Tamandua tetradactyla: one gene and its partner. The protein of the gene in region 2 interacts with the protein of the main gene of each other region in a biochemical or structural test. Links are inferred from orthologs where the notes say so. Each region holds a gene or a part of one and is shown on either strand. Other genes may lie near its edges.

Evidence for each region.
Region 1: the proteins of DCAF11 (region 2) and SLBP form a complex in vitro, tested with the Homo sapiens proteins (2 studies listed by BioGRID, with this or other methods). The link is inferred for Tamandua tetradactyla from reciprocal best matches to the Homo sapiens genes DCAF11 and SLBP.

What each region holds. Positions count from the first base shown.
Region 1 is NC_135345.1:1,394,577-1,404,583, forward strand, and holds the start of SLBP (histone RNA hairpin-binding protein), read right to left. Parts: upstream 4,846-10,007; 5' UTR 4,793-4,845; coding exon 4,749-4,792; intron 4,587-4,748; coding exon 4,428-4,586; intron 2,054-4,427; coding exon 1,949-2,053; intron 1-1,948. Other genes in the region: TMEM129 (E3 ubiquitin-protein ligase TM129), read right to left, coding at 9,174-9,422, 9,500-9,659. UniProt on the Homo sapiens protein: RNA-binding protein involved in the histone pre-mRNA processing.
Region 2 is NC_135340.1:30,671,157-30,681,163, forward strand, and holds the start of DCAF11 (DDB1- and CUL4-associated factor 11), read right to left. Parts: upstream 4,567-10,007; 5' UTR 4,437-4,566; exon of another isoform or gene 4,366-4,436; intron 4,348-4,365; exon of another isoform or gene 4,216-4,347; intron 4,194-4,215; exon of another isoform or gene 4,066-4,193; intron 3,995-4,065; exon of another isoform or gene 3,965-3,994; 5' UTR 3,780-3,964; coding exon 3,625-3,779; intron 2,744-3,624; coding exon 2,616-2,743; intron 2,359-2,615; coding exon 2,231-2,358; intron 1,971-2,230; coding exon 1,906-1,970; intron 1,592-1,905; coding exon 1,491-1,591; intron 1,259-1,490; coding exon 1,112-1,258; intron 908-1,111; coding exon 853-907; intron 501-852; coding exon 432-500; intron 109-431; coding exon 51-108; intron 1-50. UniProt on the Homo sapiens protein: May function as a substrate receptor for CUL4-DDB1 E3 ubiquitin-protein ligase complex.

The DNA of each region.
Region 1 (10,007 bases), on a different chromosome or scaffold from region 2:
CGAGGGGCCCCCCACCCCAAGTTATGAGCCGTCCCATGCAACGGCGCATGACACTGCAAATGAGATGAACACCACTGAAAGAGTGTACTTGAAAGAGTGTGTGTGTGACAAACAAACTACAGGGCCGTAGAACAGAGTGAACCGTAAAGGACAACTAGCATACAACCCTAGTGGTGGCTAAACTAGAGAGACACAAACGCAGGGTGTTGAGAGAGAAAGCTGTGGGGGCAGCACATGGGAGCTGGACTTCGTGCGTGATTTTTCTATAAACCAACAGCTGCTCTTAAAAATAGACCTAGAAAGAAAGAAAGAAAAGAACCCTTCACCGTGCGCAGCCTGTCGGCACTGGCTTCCGGGCGCCCCGGCCCCAGGCAGCAGGTGGCAGGAGGAGGGGCTGCGCAGGACGGGACAGCCTTGCCCCAGGACAGTCGGAGCAAGAACCAGAGCCACAGGCCAGGGAGTAAAGCAGAGTGCCAGGCCAGAGACAGGGCTTCCTGGGGGCAGGGCTGGGCATCCTGGCTTCCCGGGCAGCGGCTGGGGAACCGGGTCAGCAGACCCTCAGACAGCCCCTTCCCATGGTTCACCCAGCCCAGAGGCCCCCAGAGACAGTCATGTGCAGCCCACGACAGGACACCCAGGCAGATAGGCAAGCTGGCCTCAAGGGCTCCCAGACTCAGAGCAGTGATGGACAGGAGACCTCCTGGGAGAGATGAAATCTGTGCTCCAAGCTCCCAGAGCTTCACCCCAAGCTCCTCCACACCCAAGATATGCGGGGGAGGGGGAGGCCGAGCAGATGTGCCTGCTCAACAGACTCACTCCCCGGCACTGCGGCCCACGTGTGCACCTGTCTGCCACGTGGCAGACAGCCGGGGCCGAACCCCAACTGACCTCGCTGTCCCTTCCAAAGCAAAGGCCGACAATGCAAGTTTGTCTTTAACTGCCCTCCAGGAAGCCAATGTGGCCGGATCCAGGCCCCCTGGGCAGCTGGGCAGGCCAGAGCTTCTCAAGGAGCCATGCCCGCCTGTGAGAGCCCGTGGAGCCTGAGGGTGAACCCAGGCCCTGCTTGTGGCACCATCGACTGGACCAATCTCTACTAAAAGCACAAAACGGTTCTTACCCCTTGGCTTATGAAATCTGCTTTGGAAAATGGGGGAAGGATCAGTTGGAACACACTCACAGCGCTGCAAATTAAGTCAGAAACTAGAAACACCCCACGCCCAAGAGGGGGCGGACAGCCAGGCCAGCAGGCGGCCACAAGAGCCAGGGCGGCACGGACCCCCGGGAACGTCAAGGGCAGCACCAATCCTCCCCAGGCCGGGAGGCGACTGGAACCGGAAGGGAAGAAGGAGCAACCCCAAGGCCCAGGGGTGATCTGTGCAGTAACCACATGCCACCTGCTATGCTCCAGTGTCACTCCAGCTTTGTGCAAACACCAGGAAAAGGAGGCAAAACTCCCTGAGCTCCAGTCAGGGTGGGCTGGGGCAGGCAACGGCACAACCACACAAACCTGGAGGCGATCTGCTCACCCTGCCCCTCACCTGGCCCCGGGCGCCCTAGGGACCTTGCACCAGGGCCAGCTCTCCCGGGGTGGACCATGAACACACGCGGGACTCTCAAGTCCAATGCCGCACCTGAGGAGCCCCCGGCACACTGCGCGTGACTGCCACGTGCTCGTTCTCTTTGCAGCACAACATTCCATTACAAAACTAAAGGGATTGACAAACCACAACTTACTTAGCCATTTTGCAAGGAAAAAAAGCACTAGCTTCCAGCTTTTTAAAAGAGTACTGGACCCCACCCCAGAATTTCCCACTTCTCACAAATCCTGAGCAGGGGCTGACGCTGCCAGCCGGGGTCACACCTGAGATGCACAGCAACAGGACACACTGCACATACAACATACAACCGACAACCAGCGATAACGCTCTTAGGCGTCCGGGCCCGTTACCTTGCAATCTCTTTATTAACCCTGGTCCTCATCTCATCTTCTTCGACTGCACTGCCCCAGTCTGAGCACCTGGATCGGGGCTTAGGGCCCTCAGGAGTGGTAAAGCTGCAAAGCAAAATGAAGATGCACATTCGAACCAGGACTGCTGCCCTGTGTCCCGTGAGACTCAACGCAGGCAGTAGCAGGCGCTGTTCTGCACAGTCACTCAAAGGGCACCGAGCTTGGGCAATTTGCTCAGCGTACCTCTGGGTTTCGTAAAGCTTTTACCACGTGCCTGCTGTGTGCCAGTGGTGGCTACGTGACCGGGTGACTGGGGGGGGGTGCAGGCAGGGGCAACAGGGTGTCTACCGTGCCAGGAAGAGCGGCCCACACACATGAGGACCTGTTTCCCTGGGACTCGTGAAAAGGTTTTCAGTCGATTTACCTCCTCAGTGCATGTCGGTCGCAACTGAGGACATGCCACACACAGGCAGGAGTGAGTACACAAGTGGACGCAGGAGGAATGGCACCAACTGGGGAAGGCACCACTTGGGGGTGAGTAAGCCTAACCCAGCACCTCTGCTCTACCTCAAGTTCAAGCAAATCTTAGGTCAAGATGAGGCCATCTTAAAACTCAAGCTTTGATACCAAGAAATTGGGCAGTTGGAATTGCTGGTGTCTGCTGTTTACATTTGATCTAAACTCACCTTTCAGTTTTCCTTCCCTACTTTTCTATCAGCTCCCACCAACATATCAAAACTAGGCACCAACTCCAGCTGCACGCAAACCCCATATTCCACCTACAAACCCCAAACAGAGCGCTTTGAAGTGCAATCGAAATAACAAATGAAGGATTCCTTCATGCTGTCACGTCTTCCTTTAGAGAAACACAGCAGTATTTTCTAAAAGAGGCAAATTTCCAAACCCTTAAAATGGTTGCAAAAGCCTGAAGTCAAATTAGCTCATTACTGGGAAGTCAACTGACTCAGTAATTACAGAGGAGGACCAAGCTAGGGCCCAGTGAGGCCCAATGTCCCAACAGGTACTGGGGCCGGGATCCCACTGTGGAAATCCACCCTCAAATCCATCCTTTAGGAACCCGTGGAGATGAACTCACTCCACCTCAGGTCCAGGCAGCGTGGAAGAGAACGCATTCACGGAGCTCTAGTCCACTCTCAGATCAGACGGTCACACCCCAGCCTCCCCACCTCGGGACGAGGGCACCCTGACGAACCTGCCACTCAGGAGAGCAGCAGGCCAGCCCTTCCGGGCTCTCCCTTCCACCCGGGCACCCCTCTTTCCCTTCTAGGGGCACCCCAAGGAGGCCCTGGGCCTGGCTGTGGGGCAGGAAGGCCCCTCCTCGCCCGCTCCCAGATCACATCCTCTTTTCAAGGTAACGAGTCAGTCTGCTCAACCCAAACTCCCTGCTGCCGCCACCCCGCCTCGCACAGGCCTCACCTGGGGGCACTCGCGTGTCCACAGGCTTGTGCTTGTGAGAATAAAGCCCCTGCTCACCACCAGGAAGTGTGAGCTCTAATGAGACCACAAGGGGCGTGCAGAGAGGCTTCGGGTGGCAGCACCCACTCCACAGAAGAGGGGATCAGGAGCTGCGGGGCAGCTCTTCGTGGAGGGCAGCTCAGGGATGGGCACCGCCACCCAGGAGGAGAGTCTCAGGCACACAACAGACACCAAGTGCCACGGCCCCAGGATGGGGCACTCTGCCACAGAGGAAGACCGAAGCAGTCCGCCTAGCAGGGACGCCAGATACCTCCGCCAGTGTGAGACCTGGAGGCTTATCTTCAGCCACACAGGAGACCCAGAGCGCTGGAGGGTCCAGAGCTCGGTTGGGATGTGTCTCCACAGGCCTCCTTACCTGCTCATCGCCTCGGACCCCACGGCTCAGACAGGCCTCTCCTACCCCCAGCGCCTGGCCAAGCCCATGGGGCCTCAATCCTGAAGAAGATCCCAGCAAGACGCCTCCTCCAGGCAGCCCCTCCAGGCCAGGCTGCTCAACTCGGCTCTCCACCTGGCAAACGGCTCCACTAGCTCCACAGCTGCCCATCAGACCCCACTCCCATCCCATCGGCAAATGCTGCTGGGTCTGCCTGCAAGCGCCCCTCCTCTGAGACCACCCATTTCTCACCACCAGCCCTGCTCGACTGGGCCAAGGGCCTGGACCCCCTCGCACCCCAACTGTGTCCTCCTGCAGCCAGTCCCAGCCAGCATGGGGACCGTCGCGGCAGGGCCGCCACCTCCCGCTGCTCCCCTCCGGGGCCCCGCTGCACGCCGCCGAGACCCACCAGCGTCGCGGCCCGCAGGGCTCTCGGGAGCCACGTCGGAGCGACTCACCTGGACGCCCTCCGGGCGCGCGCGGGCCGCCCGCCCTCCTTTCGGGCTGCAGCCCCTCCGAAGGGACGCACACAGGGCCCGCGAGCGGCCTGAGACCCGCCCGAGCCTGTTCCGCGGGGACCCTGCGGCCAGGGGCCGGGGCGGCTCTCACCTCTCCAGCCGGTAGTCCGCCCTCCGGGGCGCGCCTCCGTCCCAGCGCGCGGGGCTCGGGTCCTCGCCGGGCGCGCGGGGGTCGTTGTCCTCGGGCTTCCTGCGCTTCCCGTCGGCTCTGCGCTTCCGGCCCAGGGACCACCTAGCTGGGGAGCGCGGGCTGCGGCCAGGGCGTCGCTGTCAGCCAGGCCGGGCCGCCGGGGCCCCCGCGCCCCCACGGGACCCCTCCCGGGACTCCGCGCGGCGACCGCCCCCCCCGGAACCTCCACAGCCCCGCGACCTCCGCGTCCGAGGGCGGCCCCCGCTCCCGGGCCGGTCTCACCTGGCGTCGCGGCACCGGGGAAGGCTTCGCGGCCGGCAGGCCATGGCGGGGCGGGCGGCGGGAGTGCGCGAGCTGCGGCCGGAGGCGGGAGAAGACGCCGCGGCGCCGGCGCTGACAGGAACTGCGCGCACGGCCCGCCCTCAACCGCTTTTAGGCGGCCGCCGGGCCCCGCCCCTCGGGGCTCCCGCGCGCGCCGGCGTCGGCCGCGACCATCGGGTGCAGACGGCGGGGGACGCCGGCCTGGACGCACGCGCCGCGAAAGCTGCTCCGCCGGGGCTGGGCTCCCAGGACAGCCGGGAGCGCCGAGACCACGGCCCCGAAGGCTGCGCGCGCGCAGACGGGCTGGCGCTGCCCCGCTGTCTGAGGACCGGCCCGAGGGCCAGGCCGCCACCCCCCGGCGTGGAAGCGGCCGGACCGCCGCGGGCCCCTCGCGCACCGATTGGCCGCGCCCTCGCGGGGGGGGCGGGAGTGTTGGCGGGAGATTCGGACGCGCGCGGCGCGGGCGCCCGGAGAGGGCGGGCCGGGCGTCCCGGATTGGCCGCGGCTCGGGTAGGGCGCGCCTGCGATTGGCCGGGCCCCGGGGTCGTGCCCCGAACTGGCGGGAACGGGAACCCGGAAGGCGCGGACCTTTTGCCCGGGTTAGCGCGGACCAAACTGGCCTGTTTCCGCCAGTCGGGGAGACGAAGTTGGGCCGGGGCCGCCCGAGACCGCCGCTCCGGCCCTCGCGTGTGAGGGGCCCACGGAGGCTGGGCGGGAGCCCGTGGGGCGGAGAAGGGTGCCGGGGGCGCAGCCTCGCGCGTCCTCCCCAAAGCCGTGGCTTTGACTCAGGCCTAAGGTCTGGGTCGCCCTGAGAGGCCCGAGAGGCAGGAGGATGGACTGTGGTGAGGAGGGCCTCTGCCCCTCCTGCGCCCGCACCCTCCAGGACCATCTTCTCAAAGTTCCCCGGATCCCCCCGCTGGGCCCCAGTCACAGGTGTCCTCTTCCCACGCGCTCCCCAGAGCCGGGCAGGGCCGGCTCTGTGTCCAACCCTTCTTTGTCACTCACCACCTTTGCTCATCTCAGTAACCTTGAATCGCCCAAGGCAGTGGCAGAGCATGCCCACCTCTGCTTGAAGCCCTCCCTGGCATCCCCCTGACACACCCCACTGTGTCCCCCAGCCCGTGGGCCTCCCTGCCTGCTTCCCCAGCTTTGCTGGGACCATGCTGCCCTCCCCACCCACCTTCTGGCCTGGAAAGCTTGCACACACACCTTCCTGCCTCAGGGCCTTTGCACTCCATCTTCTCTCACTAGAAAACTGCCCCTGCCCGTCTTTCAGAATTCAGCTCACCGTTCCCCTCCTGTGAATCTATCCCAACAACCCTTCCAAAGGTGGCCCTCACCTCCCAAATGTGGTAACTGGCTTCCAAGACGGCCCCCCTGTAAGGGAGTCCCTTCCCACTGCACGGGCTTGTGTGTAGCCAATAGGATGTGGCAGAAGGGGAGCTCGGTCACCGAAGACACTGGGTTTTTCCTTGTCTTCCCCTGGATCACTTGCTCCAGGGGCAGCCAGCTGCCATGCTGGGAGGAGCTCAAACAGCCCCATGGCCAGGGATGGAGACCTCCCACCAAGGACCACATCAACTCATCAGCCATTGCAAGCAGTCTGTCTCGGAAGCAGGTTCTCCCGAGTCACGCCTTCAGAGACTGCAGCCCAGGCCAATGTCCCTGTGGGGTGTTGGGGAGACCCCAAGCCAGGGCCATCCAACATACTCTGAATATCTGACACCCAGGAACTGAGATGTGTTTGTTGTTTGAAACCATCATCTGGGGTGGTTTGTTAGGCAGGGCTAGATGACAATGTGCTATCTTCTCAGCCGCTCTGGTGGCCCTTACCACCTGCTGGACACCCTTTATGCCCACTGTGTTAGTTAGATTCAGTTGTCAACTTGGCCAAGTGAGCATACCTAGTTCTGTTGCTGCAGACACAAGCCAATGGTACGGGGACCTCATCTGTTGCTAATTACATCTGCAGTTGCTAGGAGGCGTGTCTGCTGCAATGAGTGAAGTTTGACTTAATTGGCTGGTGCTTAAATGAGAGAACGCAATGTAGCACAGCCTAAGCAGCTCGGCATTCCTCATCTCAGCACTCGCAGCTCAGCCCAGGCCTTTGGAGATGCAGAAAGAAGTCACCCCTGGGAAAGTTGTTGGAACCCAGGGGCCTGGAGAGAAAACCAGCAGAGACCATCCTGTGCCTTCCATGTAAGAAAGAACCTCAGTGGAAAGTTAGCTGCCTTTCCTCTGAAGAATCAACAAAATAAATCCCCTTTTATTAAAAGCCAATCCGTCTCTGGTGTGTTGCATTCCAGCAGCTAGCAAACTAGAACACCCACCTTTTCTACACTGCACTAGCCTGCCTGGTCAACAGTTAGTAGGGGCTGGAAGAACCCATTCCCACTCTGCTCCCTGGGGCCTGGGCGGGCTGCAGTGTCTGGCAGAATCACTGGTCCGTAGAGCCACCAGAGCCCCACTCGGCTGCGGTATCTGCGTGTTCCCCACCTGCCCCTCATCCTGTCCTGCTTCCAAAACAGTGGGAACGGTGGTCCCTCGCCAGGCAGCACCCCAGGCAGGGTGCAGCTGCACTTGGGGGCAAAGCCCCAAAGCTCCCCAAAGCACGGTTCAGGATGAGGGGTGGCCAAGGATGCAGGCAATGGTGCAAGGCCTTGGCCCAGCCCAGGAAGTCTGGCCTCAGGAGTCCCTTCCCCTCCCCCCCCCACCCAGGAGGGGCCGGCGCCCCCAGCCCTGCCCATGCTGCCACAACCCCCAGCACTGCAGGGACCTGGCGACTGTCGACCCATGTCCTCCCTCAGACCGTGCAGCTAGCTAAAGCAATACTTTTACTTCAGCTGAGCCAAGGAATGAGGGTGAGAGAGCTCCGAAAGCAAGAACACAGAGACCTCAAGTCCCCCAACCGGGCTGTGTGTGCTTCTGCAGATGAAGGAACAGCATAGGGGAAACAGCAGCAAACGTTCTGGGGGGTCCCCTACAGGCCCAGGACGGCACCAGTCGGGGGGTCAGGAGCCTCTGAATGGGCAGTGCTGGGTTCCCCTGGTGGGCACAGGAGGCGACCTGCCAAGGCCGGCAGCCACCTCTCACCTGAGCACCCCAGGCCCTGGTGTGTCCTCGCAAACGGTGCCTGTTCCTCTTCCTGAACAAGACAAGCCACACGACAGCGGCTTCTCAGATGCCACCTGGGCCTTCCCAGAGGGTTATGAAAACTTGAATTTAAACAAAGGATTTAGGTCTGGAAATGCATGTAATTTCAGACTTGTATTTAATTAAATACTGCAACATTTGGCTACAATTGATTTATCTTTATGAAACTAACTTTCTCCTGTAGAGAGAGTAACCTCCAGCTGCCCCATCTGCTGGGCAGCACCTGACAACACCTTCACTGCCCTCATCTGGTGACCACCCATGGGGCGTCCTGTGGGGTCTCTGCTCCCAAGGGCCTGGCCATGGGGGGGTCAAGTGGAGGTCTTGGTCCAATAGAGGCTGGGCCTGCCAGGGCCCTCTCACTTGCTTCAAATGCCACCTGAGGCTAGGGGTTCTAGGGCCACAAGTGTGAGGACTCCAAGGCAGGGGGCAGGGTCCTCCCCTGGGCTACATTGGTCCTCTCCCCACCTGTGCCATGGGGGGCTGGGCAGGCACCTATAGGTGTCCTGACCACAAGGCAGGCCCCTTCTGACCTGCGTGGGCCCTGAGGGCTGAGCCTGGCCCTGTGCTGCCTCATGGCATAATCTCCACAGCCTGGTCTGTGGACGGGAGAGCCAAGGGTGGCTCAGCTCAAAGGCTCCCAGGTACTGGGGAGGGGCAGCAAAAGGCACCAAGGACGGCGAGTGCCGTCCAGCAGGCAGGGTGGCCCGAGCAAAGCCGAGAGAACAGGGCTGAGGACAGTCGGCCCCTTACCCAGCCCCCTGCCTGGGCTCTCTCAGTCAGGGGTCTCTGAAGGCAGGGACGTGTGGGAGTCAGGGTCCCCTCCCAACCCCCAACAACCCACACGTGTGTGGGGCCCCGAGTTCTCCCGTACCCACTCTTCCCGGCAGCTTCCATGGTATGGGGGAGGTGGGGGTTGGGCCATGCCGGGCATCAGGGCAGAAGGAAACTTGTAATAAGGGGCAGGTGTGTCCCCTGCATTAAGGCAAGGGGCCCAGGTGAGGGCCATATGGGCAGAGCCCTGGGCCTCCCACAGAACCGGGGCTGGGAGACACCTGGGGACAGGCACTGCCCTGCCAGGAGGACAGTAGAGGGATGTGAGGAAGCAATGCAGGCGCCCGGGCTTTAAGAGCAAAGAGAGTTCTTGGCGCCCTGCGAGGGGCCCTCCCAATCATGGGGTCCTGAGGGAATCTGGACAGGGCAGGGCCGACCCGAGACGCCCCCCAGGCCCGCTCAGCGCACGGCACACACGTCCAGAATGCAGAAGCGGGCGCGGCAGGTGGGGCAGGGCACGCGGCTGGCCAGCCAGGTGTCGGGGCGCTGCTGGTCCTGGCGGCTGGCGAACCACTTGCCCAGGCAGGTGAGGCACCACATGGGCCGGCAGTAGCACTGCTGGCACTCCCCCGCGCCCGCCTCCTGGCAAGTCTTCACCAGCTTCACACTGGCACGCGCCTGCATGCACCCGATGCACGCCTCCAGCTCCTGCGGGTGGGGGCGGAGGGAGGTCAGGGGCACCCCCAGCCGCCTCCCCCAGCCCCAGCCCCTGCCGCGCTCCCCACCTGGCTGCTGGGGACGGTGTAGGCCGGGTTGACCTCCACCAGGGACGCGAACGTCTCTAGGAACAGGTCGCCCAGGCTCTGGCGGATGACGACGTCGGCGGCGCTGTGGATGGGCGCGCGCAGCTTCTCGCACAGCTCCCCATACTCAGCAGAGTTCAGCCTGCACGAGACGCAGGGCTGCTGGGCCAGGGCCTCCGTGGGGTCTCGGGAGGGGGCAAGGAAGCCGGCCCAGCCCCTGCTGTTTGTTCCGCCAGCTCCCCGGGCCTGCAGCGTGCCTCCCACTGGGCCAGAGCAGCAGACAGTCAGCCGCACCCTGAACGGGACAGAGGCCGCAAGCACGGCAGTTGTCCCGGGCGGGTCCCAGCTGTCTGCCGTGCGCGCCCCTGAGAAGCAAGGGTCGCCTGTCCAGGAACTGCAAATGCGTGGGGGGCAAGGGGGGTGGCGAAGGCCAGGAGCAGGTGCCAGGGGAGACGCCAGGTCCTGGTCCAGCTTGTCTCTGTTCCTGGGT
Region 2 (10,007 bases):
TCACAGAGCAAGGACCAGGAGCCAGAGGCTCTAAGTCTGAGGAACAATACCTGAAGGGTGCGCCGGTTCTGTTCTCGGTCAAAGACATACAGACAACCATCATTGGCACTGAAAAGGAAGAGATAAAGAGGGTCCTGGAGCCAGGACCAAGAAAAGCAATGCTATGTGTACTCTGGAGAGTGTCTATTGAGAAGCCCTGCTGAGGGGCAAGCCCCTTGTCTCACCTCATACAGGAAGAGAGAGAAGAGTTAGCTGTGTCTGACTGCACAGAAGTTTGAGACCTGCCACCTGGTACTGAGGAAATGGTGACTAAGAGGTGAAGCAACTTGTCAACCTTGACCTTAAAGAAGGGCTGGGTAGGGGTGTCTAGTGCAGTCTAACAGGAGAGCTTATCTCATTAACTGAGGGAGCCATCTCCTGCAAATACTCACCCTCCTAGCACTTCTCGTCCATCTGAGGAGACAGCAATGGAGAAGACAGCAAAGCGACGCTCATCTGGCCTGAAAGGAGCGAAGAATGAACTAGGTAAATAGACTTCCCTTCAACTTTTGTTAATCTACATGGAATCACTTGAGGATTGTAAAGCACACTTGTAAGGGAAAACAGAAGTCCTGTCAACATGTGCCAGAATGCAGATCACCTCATTGAGAACCCAGAAATGATGCTGCAACCATCTATTTTACACAGGCCTTCTGGCTGACAGGATGGGCAGTTTCTTCCCAGGAATCCACAGAGAAACTTGCAACCAATGTACTTTTCCCTTAAGAACAGGTTCCCGTTCAAGAAGTTTGTTTCTGAAGAGCCCTCCTTAAGAAGTTTCTGATGAGTCGGATGAGGAAGGGAAGGCAGTACCTGAGATCCAAGGCCGTGTGTGTGTCTCCCTCCCCATAGATGTTGCAGATATGAACTAAGAGAAGCAAGAGAAACAAGAATCTTTCAGGACTGGGCGAAGACTCATGGAAGTGAAGCTAGGGAAGAGCTGCAAAAAAGAGCAAGGATATCAGAGTACCCTGGGAATGATTTTTCCAAGATGAGGCATGGAGTCCTCTCGGGAGTACGGAAAACTCAGATCCCAGGATAGAGAGACAATGAAAGTCTGGTGCATACTCACTGTAATCAGACCAGCTGGAGTATAGGAAGTGGTTCCCATCAGGGGTGAAGGCCACATCCAAGATGCTCCAGCCTACATCCCGGGCCTTGATGCTTTTGAATTTATGGAAGCGGCCATAACGGCAGTCATATAGTCGGATTGTCTGGTCTGTGCAAGTGAGAATAAGGCAGAATTACGGGAACACCCCCTTAATTCTCCTGGATCAGCCCTCTATCACTCAGTCTATCTGTGGAATCTTTCTTTTATCATAAAAAATACATTCTGATTAAGCCTCCTAAGACAGAGTCTGAGCTCTCTGGGTCTGGGGCTTTCTAGCCTCTGTCAGGAGGAATGTTTCCTATTTCAGGCAAGGGCAGCTTGTGGGGCCAGGGTCTGGTACCTTGGCAAGCAGACATGAAGATTTGACCATCCTTGCTGTAGATGCCACAGAAAGCCTTCTGAGAGTAGGTGTCAGTGAAGCCCAGATCATTGGGCAAGAAGCTGGGAAACACACGGAAAATGAGGGTGAGGGGACTTCAGGGTGAGGAGTGCCCTAGTTAACAGGATCCTAACAGGGCAGAAATACCAGCATAAAGGTATTCTTTCCTTTTGGCTTGGCATATAATCCCTTTTCTTTCACCCTATCTATTATCATCTTTATTTCTACACTTTTCCACTTTGTTTACTCTCAAAGCTGCAACCCATTTAATCTGTAACCTTAACATCTCTGAGATCTTTTAACACCTGCCCCTTCAAAGTACAGGGGATAAGACCTATCTGGCCCTTAGAGTCTCTCCACTGAGCCCCATACTCACTGAGACATCACTCGAGACTGCTCTCCAAGGGAGAAGCTTCCTTGGTGGCAGAGGCCCCGTTGTCTCTAAATGGAAGGGATTGGTGAATATTGCTAGCAGATACAGAGGGCCGCTAAAGCCACACCAAGACCCCTCCTCCAAAGACATTGCTCTTGCTAAAGAAATGGACTACACATAACCTTGACACAAGTCGGCCAAGAACTCCCCAGCATGAGCATGTGAGACTTCCTTGGAGGGTTTACCTCCCTCCTCTCGGGAGGTAGCAAGAACTTCTGGATACCCTGGCAGGCCAGGTGTCAGGCTGGTTGGGGATGAAGAAACCTACCTGGTACAGCATTCGAGGAAAGCTGTGTTCCTGGGCTGCCTGCCTAAGTCTCAGCCGCCCTGTGGCCAATTCCACTTGTGTTTTGATCTCGTTGCACTCCAGCTCCCGGGTATCAGGGGTCACATCCACTATGAGTACCAAAGATAAGTTTCACCCTAGGTCTTCTAGCTCCAGAGGGCAGTTAGCATAACTGTGTCCAAAACAGGACGAAGATGGGCCTCACCAATGTGGCTGAGTATACTGGGGGTTACAAAGATTCCCTCATTCCCTGAATTATCTCATCTTCTTTCAGTCTAACCCATGATTCTTCTCACACACATACACACAAAAGGTTTTCTAATTAAAATCTTCCAATTTTAGGGTCTCAATCTGTTTTTACTCTTACCAGGTGGGTTGTATCGGTCCCCCAGACGACCATCCCAGGCACTGTCATGCTCTTCCTCAGAGTCAGAGAGGGCCTGGATGAGCTGTAAATTTGCAGCTCCTCCTCCCTGCACCAATCTCATTTGGCCTCTGTGGAGAGAGCCCCCCCCCCCCCCACGATAAAGGCGGGAATCCCTTTCCCCAGCCCAGCCAAATTCAGAGTCAGTGCCCACTTCACTCTTAGACCATGTGAACTCAAACCCTAGTACTGTCCCCACTTTGAGGGCTGGAGACTGACTACACCTTGCCTGTTATTTTCCGTCTCCTGTAAGTCATGTAAATTGATATTTACTCTTAGAGCAGGAGTAGAGAACTAAGTGGATTTCCCATGGAGAAAAAAATTCTGACAGCATTTCCTTCTGCGCTTCAGCCTGAGAAGCCCAACATAAAACAGTATTCTGAAGGGATTCCTGGGCTTGTCTTCTCCCTAACCATAAGCCAGGAAACAAAGCCAGTCGCACCCCTTTCCAGTTAATTCTTGGTGGTCATCTCCTACAAGCCATTCTTGCCTCAAGACTAGGGTTAGAGTTAGGTCAATTTAAACTTGTTTTTCAAGTAAATCCACAGGATCTCATATCAAATGTCAATGGCTTTACTAAAGTTCCACTCCTCCCTCCCAAACACTTCTCCTCATCTCCTACTTCACTCCTTATCCCTCAGGGCCCTTTTTTTTTTACTTACTCAGAAAATAGATTAAATAGAAATACATGCATGTAGTCACAGTCAGTGAGACTCCCCTGAACTGCCCCTTCAAACACAAGAACGGGTTCCCCTAGTGACCTACCCTAGCCAAGGTAAGAACCACTCCTACTGGATATGGAGTTGAAGCCAGGGCTGGCCAGGAGGGGAAGACCCTCAGAGTAACCACCCTGGGCTAGTTACATTTCCTAACTTCTATGATTTCCCTGCCTGGAGTTGGGAGCAAGGGTCTGTGGTGGCACCTGGTGAGGACACACCAGAAGGTAAGTTACCTGCGTAGTAGATAGGCCAGTACCTGGGCCAGATCCACATCTTCATCCTCCTCTTCCTCTTCCTCACTCCTTCGCAGGCCAGCCCCTCTTTGGGGCAAGCCCTCGGAGGGGTCTCCGGACCCAGATCCTGCACTGCTGCTGTTTCTTGATCCCATCTTCTGGTCACAGCATCCTCAGGACCTCTGCTGGGGTTCTTCTTGTCACTTCCTTGGTGAAAGCAAAGCCTGCTCTAGAAATACTAGGGTCTCCAGAGAAGAGAACGCCTTCCTAGGAACTGTGATCCCTTCTCTTTAGCATGTGACAACTCCCAAGGTTTCAGGAACACAAACCTTCCCCAGTCCTGTGAAGCACAGAAAACAGAAAGTGAAGCCTAGGGCGATACCCTAGTTTACCAAAGAATCCTTCGAAGAGGAATTTCTCAGTTTTCTATCCCAAACTCACCTATCAAAGTCCCTGTGGGGGGGGGCGGATTCCCAGGTAACCTGTCTGGCTGACCAATTAAAAGGCTCGCGGAAGAAAGCGCCTCACTAGCTTATCTCACCTAACCAATCAGAAGCCTGAAGAGTCAGAGACCCCCGACGCCCCCCTTACCGACCAATAAGGGCACTCTCTTGCGCAGGCCGGCAGCATCGACAGCCAATGAAGTTAGAACTCGACCCCCTCCTCCCCTGCCTCACGCCCACGTGGTGTGCCGGGGGTGTGTTCGCCAAGGAGAGAGGCAGGGAGGAAGTCGCCAAGCACCTCCTACTGAAGTCGGCGGTTACTACCCCGCGCGAAACCACCCTCTAGCCAGGAGCAGTAGCGGGACCTACAGCTGCGCTAGGCCTTGTTTACAACGACTGCAGCCGCAGCGTCTGCCAACCGCTCCTCCGTCATGCGCCTCGTCCGTCACGCATCTGCCGGCTTCCCTGCCGAGCGCCGACGTCACGCGACGCCCGCGGCGGCTCCGCCCCCTGGGCTTGCTGACTGGGTAGCGGAGCACAGTGATTGACAGGTGGGCGGGAGAAAGTGCCTATGGGGGTCTGAGCGGGTCTGAGGCAGGGAGAAAACACGAATGGAGAAGGGGCGTTCGCTCTCCTAGGGAGCAGGGAGTAAATTCCGGAATCTGCTGCTTTCTAGCTCCCAGACCACGGAACTTGATTTGATGGCAGAGAGGAAGCCGCGCAAAAGAAACGGATAGCGGTTCGTCTTAGCAAGGGTTACCATTTTCTGTGTGTCCCTAAATTCTTTTGGCTTCACACTTTTCAGACAGTGCCGAAATCTCCGCTTGATCAGTTCTCTTTTCGCTTCACTGGGCCCTGCCCTAAGTATGAAGTGCATTTTCTTTCGCCTGGGATGTCTTCATGTTACAGTTGGGGATTCCAATCCTCCACACCCACCTGGCTTTAGCTTCCGGAAGCCTCGTTCTTGTAGGATCGGCAACTTTTTAGATGATCCCTAGCTGGGCTCCGCGAACTTTACACACACTCCCTGACGCAACTGTCGCCTGTGCTACCCCACCCCACTCCTCCCCACACCCCGTTCCCTTGGTCCTCCGGGATTTGCACTTTCGCGAGACCCTCTGTCCTCGCGGTGCTCCCCTCACTGGGCTGCGGGCCCTGCGTGCGCACACACGCCACCTGCCACTCCGTTCTCCGAGTTTATGAGTAACAGCACTGAGTCCAAGGCCGGGACTCGCCACGTCTCGGGATCTTTGCCCAGGCTGTGGAGGAGTGGGGGTGTGTGTGTGTGTGTGTTTGGGACTAATGACCACGCAGAGGTCCCTGGTCTGAAAAGTGTGTGTGTGTGTGTGTGTGTGTGTGTGTGTGTGTGTGTTTGGGACTAATGACCGTGCAAAGGTGTGTGTGTGTGTTTGGGACTAATGACCACGCAGAGGTCCCAGGTCTGAAATGTTTGTGTGTGTGTGTGTTTGGGACTAATGACCACGCAAAGGTCCCAGGTCCGAAATGAACGCGCCGGCACGCTCTTAGAAGTGCTGCGAAACTTCCCCCTCAGCCCAGAGCCTCTGAAGGCAGGTCGGGGAGCGACGGCGCCCAGTTCTTCCCTGGAGCCCTGAGGCTCACTCTCCCTGAGAAGCGAAGGCGAGGTGTGCTCGCACCTTCGGGTGATCCCGCCTGGCCCTTAAACCAGCTACCCTGGAGCGCATCACGTCTGCTCACTGCGCGGGGCTGCCTGGGCGAGTCAGCTGTGGCGTCTCTTAGAAGAGCCCCCCCGCCTGGTTTAATGTTTTGCTGTCGTGGCCTTGAAACTTAATTTTAAACAAGAAGTCCAGGTTTTAATTTTGCTCTGGGTCCCACAAATTATGAAGCTGGTCATCCATCTCCTATTATCTATTACTATCTGTGCCCTATAACGTCTATTGAGACCTTAGGATTCCATGACTTCTGGGTTACCCCGCCTGAAAAAAATCTGGAATCATTTTTTTAGAAGTATCTTTCTCTACTTTTTGTCCTTTAAATTCAGTTCTTCGAGTCCTGCAGATTCTTTAGCTGATGAGTAGAAGCTGTTTTCCAATGGCTACCACCCAAGATCCAATTTTCATTTCTTCATGCCTCTCCCCAGCTAGTTGATCTGCTACACGTATCCTCCTCTAACAGCATTTAGTTTCTGCCCTACAATAGAAGACAAGAGTTTCTCTTTATTCTACCCAGAGCTGTACATGTGTCCCAAGAGCTCTGGGAAGTCACCACTCTGGGGACTGAGGTAGGGGAAGGTGGAAGAAGAGGGAGGGGGCAGTTAGCCAGAGAATGGAAGTCGTACTTCTCTCCTCTCCAGTCCAGCTCGCCCTCTAGTGGAGTTAGAGGGCAAGAAGGAGCAGGAAAGAGCCCGGGGCAGGGCAAACAGGAAGTTAATCTGCTGACATTTACTTAGCAATTAACCAAACTGGCCCTAAAATGGGTGCTGAAGGTAGAAAATCTCTCTTTGGCTTTAAGTATAGCTGGGAAGAGTAGAGGCTGCCCAAATGAAAAGCACTTTGTAAAGTGTCACCAAATAAATGCCAAATTTCAAAATCATGAGAGGGAAAGCCAATAGAGCTTATCAAAATAACTTAATTATAATTATTTTTAAAGAATGCCATTTTATTTCTTTCAGTAGAATTCATAGTAGACCCTAAGATATAAATGTTCATATACACTGTGAAAAATTAATATTAGCGGTTACAAAAGGCTTAAAAATCTTCTACATATAAAAAATAATCAATGGATCCAGAGGTGAAAACCTACATTCTTTATCATTTGAGTTGATGTTAAAGGGGACTCATTTTGGTCATAAAACCCCAGAAACTTATTTTGACATTACCATGATTTTCAAATGTTCACTTTTGTTAATCATTTCAAATACAAATACCAAACCTGGCTGTTGTTGTTTTTTTAATTTTTATTGATAAAACAACGTACAAGGACATACAAACATTCCATACATGGTGTACAATCAGTGGCTCACAATGTCATCACATAGTTGTCTGTTCATCACCATGATCATTTTTTAGAACATTTGCATCACTCCGGAAAAAGAAATAAAAAGAAAAAAAGAAAAAACTCATACATACCATACCCCTAGCCCTCCGTCTCATTGACCACTAGTATTTCCATCTACCCAATATATATATTTTTAATTTTAACATTTGTTCCCCCTATTATTTATTTATTTTTAATCCATATGTTTTACTTGTCTGTCCATACTGTAGATAAAAGGAGCATCAGACACAAGGATCTGATTGTTTTTTACCACCAATTTTTGTTACTCCTGCCAAACAAACATGCCCATAAATGCCTTGCAAGTTTCCACTTCTGCACCTTCCCAGGAAAGCTTCTTATCTGATATACTCCTGTTTCTACCAGTTAGATTCCCTTCCACACAGCCTTGCACTTTGACCCACTGGTACCACTTCCGGGAATCTAGTCCAGACCTGTCTAAAAATTTATGTTCAGCCTAGCAATTATTTTTAATAGTGAAATACTGGAAACAAAGAAGATTAAAATATCCTGTAATATGGGATTGGGTAAATAAATCATGGTCCATATACACTGTAATAACACGTAGCCTTTGAAATGATGTTGTAGTCTTCTATTTTTATACCATGGGATATTGTGCAAGCTGCTGGTTAAGTTGAAAAAAAAAAAAAGATGGTGGTCGTTTGGTGACACCTGGTGGATGCAAAAACAATCTGGTTTCAATTTTGCATTAAAAATTAAATCAATGGCAAATTGTTTCATGAACAAAAGATTTTGATTACTACAATTTGCACACCTGGGATCTAAGGGAAAAAAAATTTGTCTGTTAAACTCACTTCCTTAATAATGCATTTTTTATTACTTTTTTTCTTCTCCTTAGCACTTAATAAAATAATAAAGCCTTGTTAATTCAAGCCTTTGTAATGTGGAACTTATATATTATTGAATACATTTGAAAATCATGGTAATGTCAAAATAAGTTTCTGGGGTTTTATGACCAAAATGAGTCCCCTTTAACATCAACTCAAATGATAAAGAATGTAGGTTTTCACCTCTGGATCCATTGATTATTTTTTATATGTAGAAGATTTTTAAGCCTTTTGTAACCGCTAATATTTTTTCACAATGTATATGAACATTTGTATCTTAGGGTCTACTATGAATTCTATTGAAAGAAATAAAATGGCATTCTTTAAAAATAATTATAATTAAGTTATTTTGATAAGCTCTATTGGCTTTCCCTCTCATGATTTTGAAATTTGGCATTTATTTGGTGACACTTTACAAAGTGCTTTTCATTTGGGCAGCCTCTACTCTTCCCAGCTATACTTAAAGCCACAGAGAGATTTTCTACCTTCAGCACTCATTTTAGGGCCAGTTTGGTAATTGCTAAGTAAATGTCAGCAGATTAACTTCCTGTTTGCCCTGCCCTGGGCTCTTTCCTGCTCCTTCTTGCCCTCTAACTCCACTAGAGGGTGAGCTGGACTGGAGAGGAGAGAAGTACGACTTCCATTCTCTGGCTAACTGCCCCCTCCCTCTTCTTCCACCTTCCCCTACCTCAGTCCCCAGAGTGGTGACTTCCCAGAGCTCTTGGGACACATGTACAGCTCTGGGTAGAATAAAGAGAAACTTCTGTCTTCTGAAGTGACCAGTTCTTATACATATGTTTACATGGTCTCCTTGCTTCTCTGTGTAAAAGGAAAGGGGGAAGTGTGCTAACTATAAAGCAATTGTGTATTTATGGGATATTTGAATATTCTCATGGCCTGTGTCCTTGAGAACCAGAATTTTCAAGTGGAGGATAGGAGCTACAGATAGAAAACAAAAGAGGTTGAAAATCCTTAGGCCTGAATTTAAATAGTAACTATCAGTTTGAATTCATGAGGTATTTTTTTATTTATTAATTTTAAAAAATGTTTAACAACAAACAAACAGAAACATTCTTAACATATGATCATTCCGTTCTACATATATAATCACTAATTCACAATTTCATCACATAGTTGCATATTCATCATCATGATCATTTCTTAGAACATTTGCATCAATTCAGAAAAAGAAATAAAAAGACAACAGAAAAAGAAATAAAACGAAAACAGAAAAAACCTTTACCCCTCCCTTTCATTGATCACTAGCATTTCAAACTAAATTTATTTTAACATTTGTTCCCCCTATTATTTATTTTTATTCCATATGTTCTACTCGTCTGTTGACAAGGTAGATAAAAGGAGCATCAGACACAAGATTTTCACAATCACAAAGTCACATTGTGAAAGCTATATCATTATTCAATCAACATCAAGAAACATGGCTACTGGAACACAGCTCTACATTTTCAGGCATTTCCCTCCAGCCTCTCTGTTACATTTTGAATAACAAGGTGATAGCTACTTAATGAGTAAGAATAACCTCCAGGATAACCTCTGGACTCTGGAATCTCTCAGCTACTGACACTTTGTCTCATTTCACTCTCCCCCCTTTTTGTCCAGAAGGTTTTCTCAATCCCTTGATGCTGAGTCTCAGCTCATTCTAGGATTTCTGTCCCACGTTGCCAGGAAGACCATACCCCTGAGAATCATGTCACATGTAGACAGGGGTGGGGGAGTGGTGAGTTTGCTTGTTGTGTTGGCTGGAGAGAGAGGCCACACCTGAGCAAAAAAGAGGCTCTCTTGGGGGTGACTCTTAGGCCTCCATTTTAAGTAGGCTTGACCTATTGTTTGTGGGGTTAAATTTCATATGAACAAACCCCAAGACTGAGGGCTCAGCCTATAGCTTTGGTTGTTCACACTGCTTGTGAGAATTTCAAGAATTCAAGTTGGGGAAGTTGAATTTTCCCCCTTTCTCATGAGGTATTTCATCTTCTTATCCCTGTCCTCTGAAAAGGCATAGAAACAACAACAATTCAGGAGCAATGAACACTCCTAGAAC